3 linked regions of the Drosophila melanogaster genome follow. The protein of the gene in region 1 interacts with the protein of each later gene in a pairwise test. Each region holds a gene or a part of one and is shown on either strand. Other genes may lie near its edges.

Evidence for each region.
Region 2: the proteins of Cdc14 (region 1) and fry interact in a two-hybrid assay, tested with the Drosophila melanogaster proteins (one large-scale study listed by BioGRID).
Region 3: the proteins of Cdc14 (region 1) and Ntan1 interact in a two-hybrid assay, tested with the Drosophila melanogaster proteins (one large-scale study listed by BioGRID).

What each region holds. Positions count from the first base shown.
Region 1 is NT_033779.5:7,807,320-7,812,785, forward strand, and holds the start of Cdc14 (cell division cycle 14), read right to left. Parts: upstream 3,385-5,466; 5' UTR 2,843-3,384; intron 1-2,842.
Region 2 is NT_037436.4:9,675,669-9,681,440, forward strand, and holds the start of fry (furry), read right to left. Parts: upstream 3,436-5,772; 5' UTR 3,159-3,435; coding exon 3,104-3,158; intron 1-3,103. Other genes in the region: CG16717 (uncharacterized protein), read left to right, coding at 4,240-5,142; alphaTub67C (alpha-Tubulin at 67C), read left to right, coding at 5,746-5,748.
Region 3 is NT_033778.4:18,654,969-18,660,816, forward strand, and holds the start of Ntan1 (N-terminal amidohydrolase 1), read right to left. Parts: upstream 3,255-5,848; 5' UTR 3,108-3,254; intron 1-3,107. Other genes in the region: Gint3 (GDI interacting protein 3), read right to left, coding at 3,569-3,680, 3,740-3,888, 3,952-4,962, 5,018-5,071; CG42306 (uncharacterized protein), read right to left, coding at 5,077-5,156, 5,227-5,512.

The sequences.
Region 1 (5,466 bases):
AGGTCTGGGAATCCAGGGCATTTCAAAGTCCAAGCCCCTATGCAATATCGTTTCATTCTAATGATTATTTCTTTCTATTAGTTGGCAACAAATGCGCCCACGCCGACTTGCACACAAAAGCTGACTTGCCATAATTGGATGGCAGTAAATGATGTTTTCCGCAAAGGGTGTTCTACATACATACATTCATACATACATACTTCCATCCATCCGTACATACATATGTATAGCGTCTTTTCTACGTAAACGTATCTATTGAGTGGAAGCATGTGTTCCGTTTGTCACTTTTACCAACTTTATGAGTGTCTGCCACCCAAGTTCTTTCTAACTTTTCCCCCCCAAAGCGCAATTCCCAGCCCTATTTGCTCCACTTTGCCTGCCGTAGCCAAATGTAGGTGATGGCTTCCATATCAATATGCATATAGCCATCAGTCAGGCACTCATTCTATCAAGTCATCAGTTGGGCCGCCATCCGCAGTCCAATAAACAATGGAGAAGGAACAGGCTGAGCCGAGCAGGAAACTCGAATGGGGAACACCCTAACAGTGAGTTGTGCATAAATCCAAGAAAGTCACGTCCCTTTGGAAATTTATGGCTAACAAGAGGGTCTACATGACATAATTTGCATCGAGAATACTGCGCTGAATGTAACTTTTGAAATGCTCTATCTGGATAAGGTTCTTAGTTGGTCTAGTTGAATGTGTTACCACACTATCCGATCCTTATTTGCCCGAAAATAGATTTTAGTGGTCGGGGAACCCATGACAGAATTTGCGATGTATGACCACCCATCATCAAAAGTGTTACGCACACGAGTTTTCACTTACAAGCATATATGCTTGGGGAACACATGTAAATATTCGATTTTATGCAAATTCGTAACCTTTTCCATGTACATACAACAAAGCCACAGTTGGCGTGCCTTTGCAGAATTTCGGACTCGAACTGGGACTACAATGAGTTCCTTTTAATCCTCCCCCCATTTCCCCTGGCAGTGCTTTATGCATTTCCTCTGGCCGATTTTAAAGTTTAAAAGTCAAGAAGCCGGGCGCTTTTTATGGCACATTTGCATGTCGGCTAAGGAGTTTTAGCCAGATCCAAACTTAGATTTCTATCGGTGTGCCAAAGGTAAATGTGAATAGTGCAAGGTGTAAGGGTATATCGCATGACATTGGGCGAGCCTTGTGAAACGGAAACGAAAATAGCTGAAGATATAAGGATATATAGGGCAAGTCAGGCCATCAAGGAAGGTGAAGGAGACCCAAGCGTACTGGTATACTTTATTCTCGGTTTTCTAGATGTAATTTTGTTTGTCTAAATTGCTATCGTAAAATGTGTATCGCGCGGACTATAAGAAAACCACATTAGGCAAACTGAAGAGATGGCTGTGTTGAATAAAAATTGATTAAAAATGTCTGACTATCAAACAAACTATTGAAATATTTATGCGGAGATCCTAATTTGATTATGGTTCTTAAGCGGGCTATTACAGAAATTTAATCCGACTTTGAAAGCGCAGTGCAATTACATAGTAATTTTAACCCTGCTTCCATTGAAATATCCCTGATGTTATATAAAACCGCTAAGCTTTTGTTACTTGTTCACTTGTTATGAGTATACTAGTTGGTAATCTCGATAATATTACTATGTTACGTTTCTGATTTGATCTGTCTCGATTGGTCGTGTTACTGGTTTCCGCCTATTATAGTTGCGACCTCTGGCGGCGATCGTGGATAATATTCTAACGGTGAAGAGTGAATCTTTCAGTCTCCACCGATCTCTTCTCCAACTCACACACACTACTCCACTTCTATTCTGAATGGAAGATCATTGCTAAATATAGCGGGAATATGCAATTAGCTACATTCATCCCCCTCCCACCACATTGGTGACTCTTTGGAGTTGACTGAAACTACAACTTCCACGTGAAGACAACAATTTCATATCACACTCATATCTATAACCATATGTATGTATAAGCATACATATGTGCATGTAAGCATATGCACATAATCGGGCTTATCTGCTTCCGAGCTGTACATAAGGTCGTCAAAAAAAAATGCGATAGAACGCAACCTTCCCTTTTTTCCAGTTGGAATTTGAGACCTAGCGATCTGGGCTAGGTTGGTCATTAGAAACAATGGACAAACAAACGAGTTTTTATTTTTTTCGAATGACGTCACCAAGAATGACAACAAAAGGCGGTTTAAAAATAAAAGCAACGTCAATAGTATGTTTCTTTTTAGCCAAGTTAGTTAGTTGGAATTGGAAACGCGGTGTTAAGAGATTTTGCCGCGCTCGCATACCACAACAAAAACAGAGCGCACACAAATACACATGGTGATTACAACGCCAACAGCATTCACCTGTACCCGCTCACTTTCCCCCACCCCTTGCTAAACAACCCACTTTTCTCAAGCGCATGCGCTGACTCTCTCAAAAGCTGCTCCATCTCACTCACTCCCTCGCTCGTTTGCTCTTGTGCTTTGGCGGCTTTTTGTATGTGTCCCGCTATGGCACTCCTCTCTGGTATTTTTGTGGATGTGCCTGTGTGGAGCATAAATAAAAGCAACCGACGCATTTTGCTACTAGAAACCCATAGAAATCGAAAAATAATACTGGGATGTACTGTGTACTGCGTAATCAAGTTTTTTGGTAAAAATTTCTGGACTATTTTCGGTGGCACTACACTGCACTACAAAAACAAAATATGGGGGGACTGGAAGAGAGAGGGAGAGAGAGTGGGAGCCGTTACAATTACACAGTTTTTGTTGGTACGTGGCTGAAGAAAGTATTCAATGGGTTGGAGAGGGGGATACCAAAAACTAAGACGAAAACTCACCTAAATTGTGGGTTCACACTGCTGTGTTGTTGTTACTTCTGCTGCTATGGATATTCACGAATGAATATTCCTGAAGAAGGGAAGACGTCGAATTTGGGAAGGCAGAGGAGAGTCAGCAACAGCAGCACCAGCTAATAACACCCACACCACGCTCCGCATAACACTGTACAATTTTGACAAACTTTACTCCCGAATGGGATTTTATATTTTAAAAGTATTTTTTTTTTTGGAAAAATTTTGTCACCGAATATTACACATCGAATTTGTTGTCTCTGTCTGCTTGGGTTAACAACATTCTCAAAGCGAGCTTTTTGCACTTGTCTTGGATTTAAATATTGTAACGAAAAACGTATAAACACAATCAGGCAGCGAAGAAAAGCTCTCTTCTGAGATAGTTAAAAAAATAACATTATAATTGCACTAATTTTTCACACCAAACTATGATCGCATTTTCCCCGGCGATTTATGTATTTTTGGATATTTCGAGTGCGAATGGGGAGCCCAGCGACCCGAGCAGTTGGAGATTCCGGAAAGTTGTGAGTTAATTGTTCATCTCGGTTCATTTTGCTAGACCAGGGCTTGAGAAACACACGAAAGTATCGATTAAATGCTCGATATTTTTTTTTGAAATGCGTTCCGTTACTTTTACATTCACCTGGAGTGGAAAATGTATACATTTTTTGGACCAGAAACAAACTGGTAATTTTTATGACAAGCGAATTTTAAGCATTAAAAAGGAATTTAATCGCATTACTATTTTTATTTCAAACAGCTATGATAGTAAGTGTAATAGTAATTTAAATTAATATAATTTGTTTTAGCTTGATATCTTAAGAACAATCAGAGTGCAATTCCAAAATGTAAATAAAATTTTTGCTTTATTTGAAAAAATATTATAATTCTTATTTTTTAACGGTACAAAAATACACAGCTTAGCGGTGACACGAACCGCGATGTATTTGAATATAAAAGTAAATTGGATTCATAGTCTTTTTTCTCTAAAATTTCTTAAAATCTTTTATCTGAGACAAATAAATCATTTCGGAAGTCCAATTGGTTTCGTTATTACTAGCTTCTATTTCTGTATTGCATTTTCGTAAGAAAAGGAAATTTCGAAACAAATTTAAAGAAAGAGCTCTATTAAATTGTAATATGTTTTTGAAATGTGTTCTCTTTACATTCGATTTAAAAAGTCTTCGTCTTTCGACGACTATCGATCCTCTGTTATCGAAGCATCGCAAAGTATCGAGTACGGATTCCCCACTGAAGTTTGAAATCATTCTCGCGAGTGGATCTCTCGAGAGCGGACGTTTTTCGAGTCGGAGCCGGGTCGAGTCGAGGGCCCCAACTTGGAATTTTCTTTCCGATTGACTTGGAAAATAGCTTCTTCGTCGCGTGCGAGTGTGTGTGTGTGTATGTGTGTGCGCGCGGTGTGGAGTTTATAAAAAGAAGTCGAAAAGTGTTTGCCGCATCAACGAAAATAAAAACACCCAAGAAGAGTGTTTGTTGTTTTGTCTGTATAACAGAAAACTGATTTTCTCAACTTCACCTCTGCACATCGATCAAGGACTAGATATAGATGCATCATATGTAGCCGAATTAAAGTATCTGGTAAAGTAGCTGTTGATGAATCTTAAGAAACCGATTTACAGTTAGTTTTTGGATCCACGCGTAGTTTTTACGCAGGTTTCAACAGCTGCAGTCCCCCCGTCTCGCTCACTCCTTCTCCCTGCCTATTCTGTTTCTGTCTTGAGGTTTATCTTGTGGCCTGTTTTTGTTGTTACTTCACTTGCGTACTTCTATTTCCACTCCTTCGCATCCGCTGCCGTTGTTGTTTTTGTTGTGGCACACTGCCTCTTTTTATCGCCTCTCTGTTACGAACAGAAAACTCAAGATAACTCCAAAAAACTCGAAGGGGGCAAGGGCTTCAAATGCCTTTTAAGATCCCCAAATCATTTAAGGGATTTCGGGATAATTCTAAAAAATGAATATATTATTATCTATTAAAAATTAATATTTTATATTAAGGTAACCTCTTTTTTAGTTTTGAAAAAATAAATAATTTTTACAGTTCTTTTTAGAGATTTTCCGGTTAGATTTTTTTCAAATGTTAAAAGTTTTTTGGTCGTACTATTTTAAAATGTAGAGGGGTTACTATTGTTAGATAGTTTTAATACTTAAGTTATATTTCATTTTCGTTATCTTTCTATAATTCATTTGTTATAGAAAGCGTGCAAGTGAGCATCGATGTCGATCTCTAGATTTTAGCAATATATTTCTGTTTCTTCTAGATATTCTTATTTCAGTATCTCATAAATATCTCATGTACTGTGGGACTTTTGTTAAGTTCCTGATAAGCTTGTTTAAAATATTTTCCATCTTGTGTCTCCATTTTCTAATCTTTTCAAAAGTTACTCTACTATGTCACAGAGCAGTGCTAAGAAGCATTTGAATGCACATCTACTTTGGCTAGGGAATTTTTGTAGATTAAGCATACAAACCCGAACATATAGAAACATGATGCCATAACGGCAAGCCAAGTGAATGACTGCATGTGGACTAAAAAAGTGCATTGCCAAGCTGATTTTCTTTATTTCAGCGACCATGGAGAACGGGCTAATTAA
Region 2 (5,772 bases), on another chromosome or scaffold:
CAGAAAATAATACTGTACAAAAATCAACAAAATGTGAGCAACTCGCGCACGCTCGCAAATTGGAAGCTCGAAATCAAAACAAACGATTATTGTCTATTTAAAATTATGATTAACAATTGCGAGAGAGAGGGAGAGAGAGAGAGAGAAAGAGAGTTTGGAGCGAACGGAACAGCTGTTTGGCTACTGCGGCGAAATCAAAAATCAGCTGAGTTGTTTTCAAAACAACAACACTCATACGCCGCGTTGTACCAAATGGGAGATGATGAAAACCATTTGTTTGTTTACCTCTTTGCCTTCTCTCTTTGCGGATTCTAGCTGATTAGCACAGCTAGTGGATGGATAAACATACATATATCTATATCTGTCGCATTAGCTTCAATTTACTGGCGGTAACCTGGGCCGCGCCTTCCCGCAGAGAAGTGCTAAGTGGAAAACTTTCCGCCCTCGGCGGCGTGGAAATCCCGCAGAGTGCCAAGGCTGAAGCTGAGCTCCAACTACAACACTTCACAGGACGTCCTTAACCCGAATTCCGTGTGGAAAACCGCGGTAATTCAATTCAATGCAAGTGCGCTCCACTTGCTAGAAGGGATTAGAAATTGGGAATCCAGTTGACTGGGTAAATTCTTTAAAAAGATGTATCAATACAAATTGAAAACACAAAATCGATGGAAACACATTTCAATTGTAGTATTCTTTAAAGTTACATTATGTTTTTCTTACTTTATTAAGCATTGATTTTAAATAACTTAAAGAAGTCTAGTCAACTAATCAAAAGTAGAGTTTTATCTTACGATAATCCAAAAGTTGTATTGATTCCCTAAAATTCTAATGTTTGAATCAAAGTTTTGAACGATTTGCAAACCTGAAAAAGTCATAGTTTCTAAAGATAGACTGTGTATAATTCTCCCTGCTGATTTTCCTTTATGGAAATGACCAAATGCCTTGGCGAATTGCTAAACAAACTTTGTGCAAATTGATTTCTCCAAGTTAGGTAAAAAAAAAGTAAATAAGCAAACATAATAAAGAAAACAATGCCGCGTAAAGCATTTTGTAACGACAAACAGTTAAATTGATTATGAACGCGCCCAGATTGTTTGCCATATGTACGAAAAATTAGCACTTTGGCCCACAAGCACGGGCACTTTCCATTTGTACAATATTGGTTTGCTGAATTAGTTAACTGCTTTTATTGCAATTGGCGAATTACATCACGCCCACCGCATAACTAGGAGTTGCTACTACGAAAATGATCGACTGGCACGCGATTCGAGAAGGCGAACCAAACACGCGACCGGAACGCACTTTACACCCGCTAAAAAAGAATTGGGAACGCACTTGATTTTTGTTGGACCCAAGTGGGCTATATAAACCTATTTCTCTGCACTCGGATTTTGAATCGGACTAGTGTGTTTTCCCTTTGGCTTTTGGTACTGTGTGCCTTGACGGCGGGCAAACAAATGAGAATGAGAATGAAAATGAAAATGGGCTGATGTACGAGCGTTTGGAGCCCGAACTTATGCAATTTCGCACAGGTGATGGTAACGACGACTCGACATTTGACTTTGGATGGCTGGCGGAATTTTCTAATTTTGCCACACTGCGCTACAAAATCCGTTGGATAACTGCCAGGTGGTGCTGATGGTGGTAGCGATGGTAGTGGTGGTGCTGCTGCTGAAAGAGCAGCAAAACCAAATGGAAATAAAATCCCAACACACCCATTGTGACGCCAGACGTTTGTTTTGCTTTTCTTCCTCTTTCGGCGCTGAATGTCATTATCAAGGTTTATTTGGCACTCTGTTTTTCCCGCCTTTTTTTTTTTTTTTTGGTTGCGATTGTGAATGAAAAGCGTAGAAGTGAGTGGGCGGGTTTGTTTTTGGGGGAAATATTGAGATAGGGCCAAATCGGATCGCGTACCGGCTTAAATCGGCGGTAAATCAATCTCGGAATTGCTGTGTGCCAAATAAAAAGTAGAAGGAAAAAGGGAAAACGTTGAGACCATAAATTAAAGAAGACAAAGGATGAGATGTAAACTGCATTATGTCAACGGTGGGCAAAGACTTATTTGTTTCAGACAAATACTAGATTATTTATTGCACAGCTTGTGTTCATTACCTTTGGCATGCAAAAAAGCATAAGATAGTCATGCAATCATTTTTGCATATATCTTTAGTCATTAAATTTTAAACTTAGTTTTGTCGCAACTCTTTATATATGTATGCTTATATGTGTTCTCAAGTGCTTCTAATAAAACTAATGGTTCCCTAGCGACAAAGCCGCAAAGCAAGCATTTAAGTTTTTCGATTGAAGCCAGAAGCAAACATATGTATGTATGTATGTACGTATATTTGTAGCTTTATATTCCTTTGTTGCAAAATTTGCGATACCCAAGTGTAAACAAAGAACCCAAAATTAGAATGAAAATCCCACTTTGATCTAAATCAAGAGCAGAGGTAAATATTTTCATAGACGCCCAAACTTACCGGCGACTCTCTGTGAAGATATTGTACATACATATAAGCACTTAGAAGCCCTTAAGATAGAAGTTTTTCAAAGTAAACAAACCGTTTCCTGTGCACTAAGAACTTGCACCACTGTGGTACAGTGAATCAAAACCATAAATTGTTCAATTTGATTAGGTGTGCAAGTGCGAGCAGGAGAAAGAGAGTAGGCGAGAGAGAGAGAGAGAGAGAGAGAGATGACGAGTGCGTGTGGATGGCCGGCAATCAAAGTGAATCATCACTTAACAAATGAGGAAGACAAAGCAAACAAACAAATGGATAACGGATAAACAGATGCAGAAGAGGTGAAGTGTGTGAAGGTCCAAGTGGGAGGGGCGGGAGAGAACAAAGGAGGCGAGGCAGTGAGTGAAATGCAGTGAGATAACACACACACACACACAACAGCGCACACAGTCAAACAATTAGTGGGCGTGTGCAATTAGCAACAAAAGCATAAAACTAAGAACAAGTGCAGTTAATCGCAAGAGTTGCGCGATGCAAAAGGGAAAATCGAGAAAATCACGCAGAAGGCTCTTTAAATCCCATAAATAGCCACTTATGCAGCTGAAAACTAAGAAGAGACGACAAATTGCGAAATAACTCACCTGCAACACCTGCTTCCAAACCAAACAAATCGTCCTGCAGCTCTAATTGATCCATTGCAATCGAATACAATCCGTAATTAAAAATTGATGGCTAAAAACAATACGCGTCTGCAAAAGTTGCAGCTGCGGCCATTTTTTGCTTGCCCAGCCTGGAATTCCAGCTTTTAATCACGTTTCACTTTTTAAACACTCAAAGAACACTTCTATCATTCTTTGACACAAATGCACACGAAAAAAACACTATTTCCAATTTGATTTAGCCAATTTTAGGAACGTTTTTTACTGCAAATGTTGGACGAAAATTTACGCGTAGCGAAGAAGCAGAAAATTATAAAGCAGCTGATTTTTGTTTTGACCAGGGCTACGTTAGAAACTTGCCAATCGATAGGCGATTGTACGTTACGTTTTTCATTACGTTGCACTATCGGCGCTCAGCTGTTTTGCCCCGGCAATGACGTCACGCGTGAACACTCAATTTCTTGTATTTTGATTGGTATTATCAAATTAGTATATCGCATTTATCTGCAAATACTTGACTAAACATAAATAAACGCGCACTAATCAGGGCGCGACCATGTCGCCGGCGATTGCAACGTGTGCTTAAAGGCCTAACACAATGGCCTAAAACAATCAGAAGTCGGCGAGGCGCAAAGAAGCAAAAAAGGAAGAATCGCTTGGAAAGTTTATAACTAAAAGTAAGTAAAAGGAATTAACAGTATTAATTTGACAAATGAAGCTGTTACCTGTATTAGTTGTGACTTTTAACTCTACTCTTTAGATATAGTTACAAATGCTTCCTAAATTGGAACGTACGCCAATTATATTGGCTTAACTACAACACTCATTAAATCTTTTTCAAGTGCCTGTCCTTTTAACACAAATGTAATTGCATTGAATATTTTAATATATGAAATTTACGAATCACACGAAAAACCCATAATTCCCAGTACTTTAAAATTAAAGAACTGTCTTAGTAAGATAACATTCATGGCCACGTCTTATGTATAGCTCTTACTATCTTAAACAAAAGATTTAGTATCTGTGTTTAAATACCTCGCTGAATTATACGTAAACAAACCAGTTCTCCATAAGAAAATTCATAGTAATCCTCACACGCCACCATTGCAGATATCAAAATGGAAGTGCCAGTACATCCACTTAGCCAGGATCCCACGGCCGCTTGGAGGGAGATTAGCAAAACGCAGCGCGTGATCAAGGTGACAATGAAGCCACCGACCACCACGGTGGCGCCCAACAAGGCACGAGTGGTTTGCATGTCCGACACGCACTCCCTGACGCCCTACATCAAGTTCGATATACCAGATGGCGATATATTCATACATGCCGGCGATTTTACCAAGTGCGGCCAACTGGAGGAGGTGGAGGAGTTTAACACCTGGATTGGAGCACTGCCCCATCGCCACAAGATCGTGATTGCTGGCAATCATGAGCTCAGCTTCGATAGAACCTTCACCCATCCTTTCCAGAAGAGCAAAAGTCATGCTTCGAGCAGCAAACACACCGGCATGTCCATCCTCGATGATCTGCCCACTTTGGGCAACGCCAAGGAGAACTTGGAGAGCGCTGTGCAAACGCAGAATGTCCGCGATGTTCTGACCAACTGTCGGTATTTGGAGGATGAACTACTTGAGATTTGGGGTATTCAAATATATGGCTCGCCATGGCAACCGGAATTCTGTCGCTGGGCCTTTAATGTTCCACGTGGAACTGCCTGTTTGGATAAGTGGAATCAAATCCCGGAAGGCATCGATATCCTGGTCACCCACACGCCGCCCGTGGGTCACGGCGATCTCTGCTGTTCCGGCGTACGAGCCGGTTGTGTGGAGCTACTCAGCACAGTGCAGCAACGAGTGCGCCCGAAATACCATGTCTTCGGACATGTACACGAAGGCTACGGCATCACCAGCGATGGCAGGATCATCTTTGTGAATGCCTCAACGTGTGACATCAACTACCTACCCAACAATGCCCCCATCGTTTTCGATGTGACGCTGCCCCCCGGATTTCGCAAGGATTAGCATGCCTAGATGATTATTTATTGTGTCACAGGTTCAATGAATTTATTTTCGTCCCACTTTATGTTTATGTTAAGGTATTTCGTCTGTAAAGATTTTGAAGCACAATTGTAGGTGTCTAGAGAGATAGAATTCAATTCGCACGAAATTAAAAAAAGAAATTCACACTTAAGATGCCATAAAATATTTATTCAAGTAGAGTGCATTTGTCAATATATGAATTTGTAAAAATAAACAAGTTTTGAAGACACCTAAACTTTTGAAGATTTTCAATATGATATTATATAGTTTTTAATAATAATTTAAGTAAAGGTAAAGCAAATCCTGAGATACATACATACTATTTCAAATTAGTATCGATAAGCCGCCAGAAATGGGTTGGAAAAACCTTGGAATGATTATTGGTTAGCAGCCCTGTCTCCCAATTTGACATTCCTCTTTGGCGCTCTGTAACGGCGCTTTTCCAGTGACTCCCCAATCAGCGAACCAACTAACCTGAGGCTGCACTTTTCGCGTGGCGACCAAAAAAATTATAAAAAAAAGGTCCCGCATTAGATTTTAATTTGTATACACCCAATTTTAGTCCAGCAAAAAAAAACTAATAAAATGGTGAGAAGAAGAAAAACTAATTAG
Region 3 (5,848 bases), on another chromosome or scaffold:
AGTTAGGATTGGTACTTTGTAGGTCCAAGCCCCATATTAATATTTCAATAGCTTAAAGTTTCTACCACTACACCAGGGATTGTGTTACATTTTAGCTGACAAACCGAAGGGAGGCCGAGTCAATTAATCTTATCAAGTGAACTCTGTAAGATTTCCCTAGCAATTGCCTAGGTTGAGGTCCAACCAAATGCAACCCGATGAAGCACCCAGTCACTGAGGTCCAGAAAAACCGCACCCACCATCTCAGCCGCACTGTTGATTGCACTAATTGGCGATGAGCGTGACCATCGGACGATGGACATCGAGATCGACTGCTGGACAGCGATGATGATGGCGATGTGGATGGAGATGGGGATGGGGATGAGGAGCTGGCTGAGACAATGAGACAAGATTTTCATTCATAAAACACTCGCTGAGTGGACCGGAAGTTCTTATTTGATTGCGAATTGTGATAGGTTGCATGGTAGGGTAAATTGGAGCATATAATGTGAACTAGTTAATAGTTAAAGATAAAGATGGTATTTTAATGATTATTAAAGTTATATTTTAACTTGTTTTTATTGGTTATATTATAATTATATAATTATAATTATTATTATATAATAATAAGTAGTTAACTTATTATTATAAGCATGAATACAAATATTTATATTCTATTTGTATCGAATGCAAAAGAGTATACTTGCTTCCGGCTTCCAGAAATATCATTTCTTACTATGCCAGTTGTGTCGCCCAAGTTCAGTGGTGTTAATTAAAGCACAAGCCTTAATTATGGTTATTTATTTGTTTTTCCCGTCATAGGGGAAGTATTTCCGCCAGGAGCGAACTAACGCCGCTGTCTTCCTGCTCACTTTTTTGGGATCGCATTTCCTTTGGCCCCTCGAGTTCAGGGTTCAAATGCAGGCAGAAATATGCAAATTCAGGGCGCTTGCGTGGAGCGATAAAAACAAATCGAAAAGCGAACCCACTGCTTGCTAACCGATTTCCACTTCAATTTCGAGCCGGGTCATAAACATGCCCGGCGTATTGGAGAAGTTCTTGGCCACTAGGCAGCGGGAATGGGCATGGGAATGGGTCACGAGCTTGGCGGAGCAAGCTAAATGCTTGTTAAAGGGCGGGTTCGCAATTGTTGCCGTTTTGCGGGCAATGCGGTTGGTTCGTGGCCAAACCACAAAAACAAATCAACCGGAGAGTGGAGCGATGCGAAGGCAGCACGGCAATTGGCAAATTCGATTTGCAATTTTTGCACCGGCGCCGGAGGATTCGCGAAAGAAGTGCCAAAACGGCTGAGCTGCTGGGTTGAGCAAACAATTTAGAATGAAGTGCAATCGGGAGTCAGGAGAGTTGATTTGCAATTTCATGGCAGCGGCAATTTGCACCTCATCATCATCATTATGTACAGCCAGATATTTTGCGCCGGGTGATGATCTTTCAATCGTTCAATCAGGCGGCGCAGCGAGGCGAGGCACGTGCAGGTTGCAACCCGGCAATGGGTAACAGCTAACCCCTAACTCGTAATCCCTATCCACATCCCCATCTCCAGCTCCCCCCCAAAAAATAAAAAAAGAGAAGACAACGATCCTCAGGATGTCCCACATATTTCTCGCTATCTCCCGACAGAAACAAACTATTCGTATCATTTTGGAATTTCTGGCCTGGCTGGGCTGCAGTGGCTGCAGCTGGGCCCAAGAAACCAGGAAGTCTGCCTGCAACAAGTTGCCGCTGCAGCAATGAGAAAAATTTCGCTAGATAAATAATGCATATCTCACGCACTAGCCTCGCGGACCAAAGTTGAAATAAGGCTCTATTGTACACAGGGAGAAAAAGCCGTGTATGCAAGATGTGCTAAAGTTTCAAAAGGGTTTATTTAAATACACATCTTAAAGATAAGGCATTAAAAAAGGTCACTTAATTGGACTGAGTATCATTTAAGAACTGTAGCCTACCAACTTTGGTGACATTTCTCCCGGTGCAACTGCAGCCGCTGCCTTTGGCCGTTTAATGAAGGCCTAGATCCGCTGCCCGGCCATAATAAGCAATGGCCAACAATGAAATCTTTGGCTCCAGCCCAGGCCAATTTATGCGATGGCTTGCAGTCTCTGGCTTTCTGCCTGCTTTTTATTTGGCTTCTCGTGGCTGCGTGTTTCGATTTGGCGCGATTGCTTGGCTTAATTTAAGCCCTGAGCCGTAGAGATTCATTAATGTTTGATTTTGGCTGCTTTTCTATTTACCTTTTCCCAAGATCAAGCGAGATTTACGCCAAATTGCCAGTGCCCGGAGCCTGGGCGAAGCACTCCTTAATCTACCCACTCCTCTCCTCACTCCTCCACAGACTTTTAGTTTGGCCGTTTTCGATGCCGCCGTGATAGACAGTAAAGGCCAACTGCGAAATTGGTTCATTAAATGCAACTGTTTGTTTAGTGGCAGCGAAGAAGCCAGCTTGGGATTAGGATCAATGCTCCAGTTTTGGGCTCCCACGATATACGATATACGATATATGTACTTTCTCATTTCGTGTAAATGTTTTGGAAACAAAGGGGATTCATATATATCTATTATATAGCATAATCTTATCTTTCTAAGGTATCTTTGTTGGGTATATTGATAAGCTACATTTGTTGTAAGTTAATGAGTCTGATAATATGTGTTTAAACTATTAATTCAAATTGATCATATAAGTTCATATCGTATTGTTAAAAAGAGGGTTGATTATTGAGCTAAGTTCCAAGCAGTTTCTAAAATGTGACAGCCGTACGATCAAGCTGCCTGCTTAATTAGTAGTCCGCATCAACAAATTGCACCCACATGCTATTAATAATTCGATAATGGCCAGGAAAAGTCGCGTGGATTGGGAAATTACAGTGGGCCACAAGTTTTCAGCGGAACCACGCGATGCGCTGACCGCACAAAAGAGTGCGGGAAACTTCCAAAACAGGCGTAACATTTGCTCCGCTTATTAATGGCATTATTTATGACTTTTTGAGCCCCGAAACTAATGTGACTAAGCAACAATTAGGCATTTGTTAATGGAATTATGGTCAAAATGCAATTGGCCGCACTTTGTTATTGTTTGGTACAAACATATGATTCTAGACTTGCGTACTCACTAACATTTACATAGCACCAAATAGTTCAGCGATTCGTGCACTTTTCACAATTCCTCACAGCTCACAGTTTAAGCTCATAGTTAAATAATAATTCGTCAATTTCCACTTGCTAGCGTTGCAATTTTTGTTTATTTTTGCAATAAGTAAGACCGTTTGCAGGTAAGCTTAAAAGCCCACCTGAAATACCGCAGCCAAAAAGATACCAAACAGCTGTTTGACGCACAGTGGCTTGAAAGTATGTATTTAGTTAAGCAAATATATAAAAATAAGTTTTTAATATAAATAAATTTCAAGCGAACAAGTAGCAACAGCCAAATAACCAAATTAATTTAAAGAAATTTTCTTTTGTGTAAAGTGCGTTTATAATTGATTTTGAATAATAGATTTGAAAGTAATAAATAACAACAGCTCTGTTATAATATAAGGGACAAATACCGCTGAATATATGGGTTAAAGCACTTCTACATAGCCTGCACCAGCATTAGAAGGTCTTCCTTTAAGTAGTTTATATCCGTTTGCAAAGGAGCGGGTGTATCATTGGCGCTAAACAGCAGCAGAGTGTTCGGAATGAGTCTGAAATGAAGGAAATCATGTAGTGTTGTACCTAAAGAAAACATTATTGCATCACTCACTTGCAGTCATATAGTGTCTTTTCCAAGTCCTCATCGCCCAGTTTGCCATCGCTGTTGGACACCAAGCTAAAATCCAGGCTTTCGTCCGCCAGGCAAGATTGGACAAACTCGAACACATCGGATATTTTTTCGTACACATTGAAAGTGCCCTGAAAATGATTCGGCTTATTACATAAAATTACTTCAGATGACATCATCGCGGAATGGCTTACTTGTATAAAGAGTCCATTGGGAAATTTAACCCTGACTAAAGCGTATCGATACATGCGCAAATTGCGCTGCTCCTCGCGTTCCCGCATCGCCTTTGTCCGCAGCATCTGTGACTGGGCAATGGCCTCGGATCGCAGCTGTTGCTCTTTCTTGATCTCCTCCGGCGACAGGCGATAAAACTCGTCGGGGAGGGCGACACGACATGCCTGCGATGGAAGTAGGACCTTAATGTTGCGATCCAGCTCCAGGGGAATAATCTCCGAGCTCTTGAGAGCTTCCACTAGTGTGGGCAAGTCGAGATCCTTCTCCGTCTGCTCCTTGGTCCACAAAAGGAAGGGTTCGCCATCGATCTGGACCTCGTTGAAGCCCGCTGCTTGCAGAACATCCAGGGCACCCTCCACGTAGCGCACCTTTTCGCTGAAGATTTTGTTGGACATCCGTATCTTGCAGAACTTCTCCTCCTCGGGATTCTTGATAAGATTCTCCAGATATCGGATTAGCGTGGCAATGCACTCGTCGGCCTTCTCCTTAACATTGCAATTGTGGATGATCAGGCAGGCGGTGAGGCCGCGATCTGCCTCCAGCTGCTGGTAGAGGAACTCTTTGATGCGAACCTTCCACACGCTCTTGGGTAGAATCTCCTCGCTGATTAGGGGGCAGCGGAAGAAGACGCCTTCGCAGGCCAGGTTGCGAGTGTCGCCGCCGGAAGCCGATGTGGATGTGCTGGTCGTTGATGGCGTGCCCATGGCTTCCTCTCTCTGGCGACGCTCTGCCTCCAGCTCTCTTTTAGCCTGTGCCTTCACTGCCGACAGCGAGGTATTGAATTCCCTGGATGTTTTCTTGTCAATGCGCGCCAGTGCCGCACTGGCAGCTGCCCTGGCCTCGTTACTTATTTCATTTCGCTTTGGTGGCACATAGGCCTCATACTTTTGGCGGGAACTACTTGAAGGAGTCTCCTGTTTGGGGGAATTCAGCTTGTGGCCAGTGCCCATGCCGCTGCCAGTTAAATTGAGCTGTAAACGAACTTGGTAAGGGATTTCCAATGGCTTGGCTAAAGAAAGAACCCACCTTAAAGGCAGCCTCCGCCTTCTTCCGCGAAAAGAACTTCTTAATCTTGGACATGGTTTCTAGATGCGCGGCGAGTGTTCCTTGGGCAGCTTCAACTTGGCCACCGACAATTTAAGCTCCTCGATTTCCTTGAGCGTGCCTGAAATGCAAGACGTGGCCTTCGTTTAAGTAAACTTATCGTAACATCCTGATTTTAAGCATATTCCTACTTGGCCTGACAAACTTCTCCGTAATGACTTTGCCGTAAATGGACCACGAATAGCCGGCTAGTACGCAGGTGCCCAGAAGCAGCACGATAAGCACCTTCAGCAGTGTCGCCTGCAGATCGGTGAAGGCAATGGGTCCGTTTTCCCAACGAAAGTCACCGGTCAAAGATTCCAGATTTCCGCGCAGATCGACGGCTGCCGTCAGTGCAACGCCAGCAAATTGCTCCACTTGTCGCGCAATCGACTGCAACGTTGAATTGAACGATTCCACGTAGAAATTGAAACTCATTGCCTGATTGGTAAGTGCCAAAGATCGTATTTAATACGTTTTCAACGCAATCCTTTGTTTATATTCGCAGCATTATAATAATTTCGTCAACACTTTTTTCTTTGCTGGTGTGCCCGTTGCTGGTCTGTGTGTAAATACCTACGGGCTAGTAAAAATACCAAATGAAAATGCGTCAACAGCTTACTTATCGATAAAAGTATTTCGCTGCTCTCCAGTGCTGGTTAATTTCCAAATGCTTTGTTTTGGCGCCTGTTTTGAATTTAAATTGTAATTTTCGAATGGGGGGAACAATTATTTATGGATTTCCCTGAGGGTTCTGACCTCATTCGATTTGCC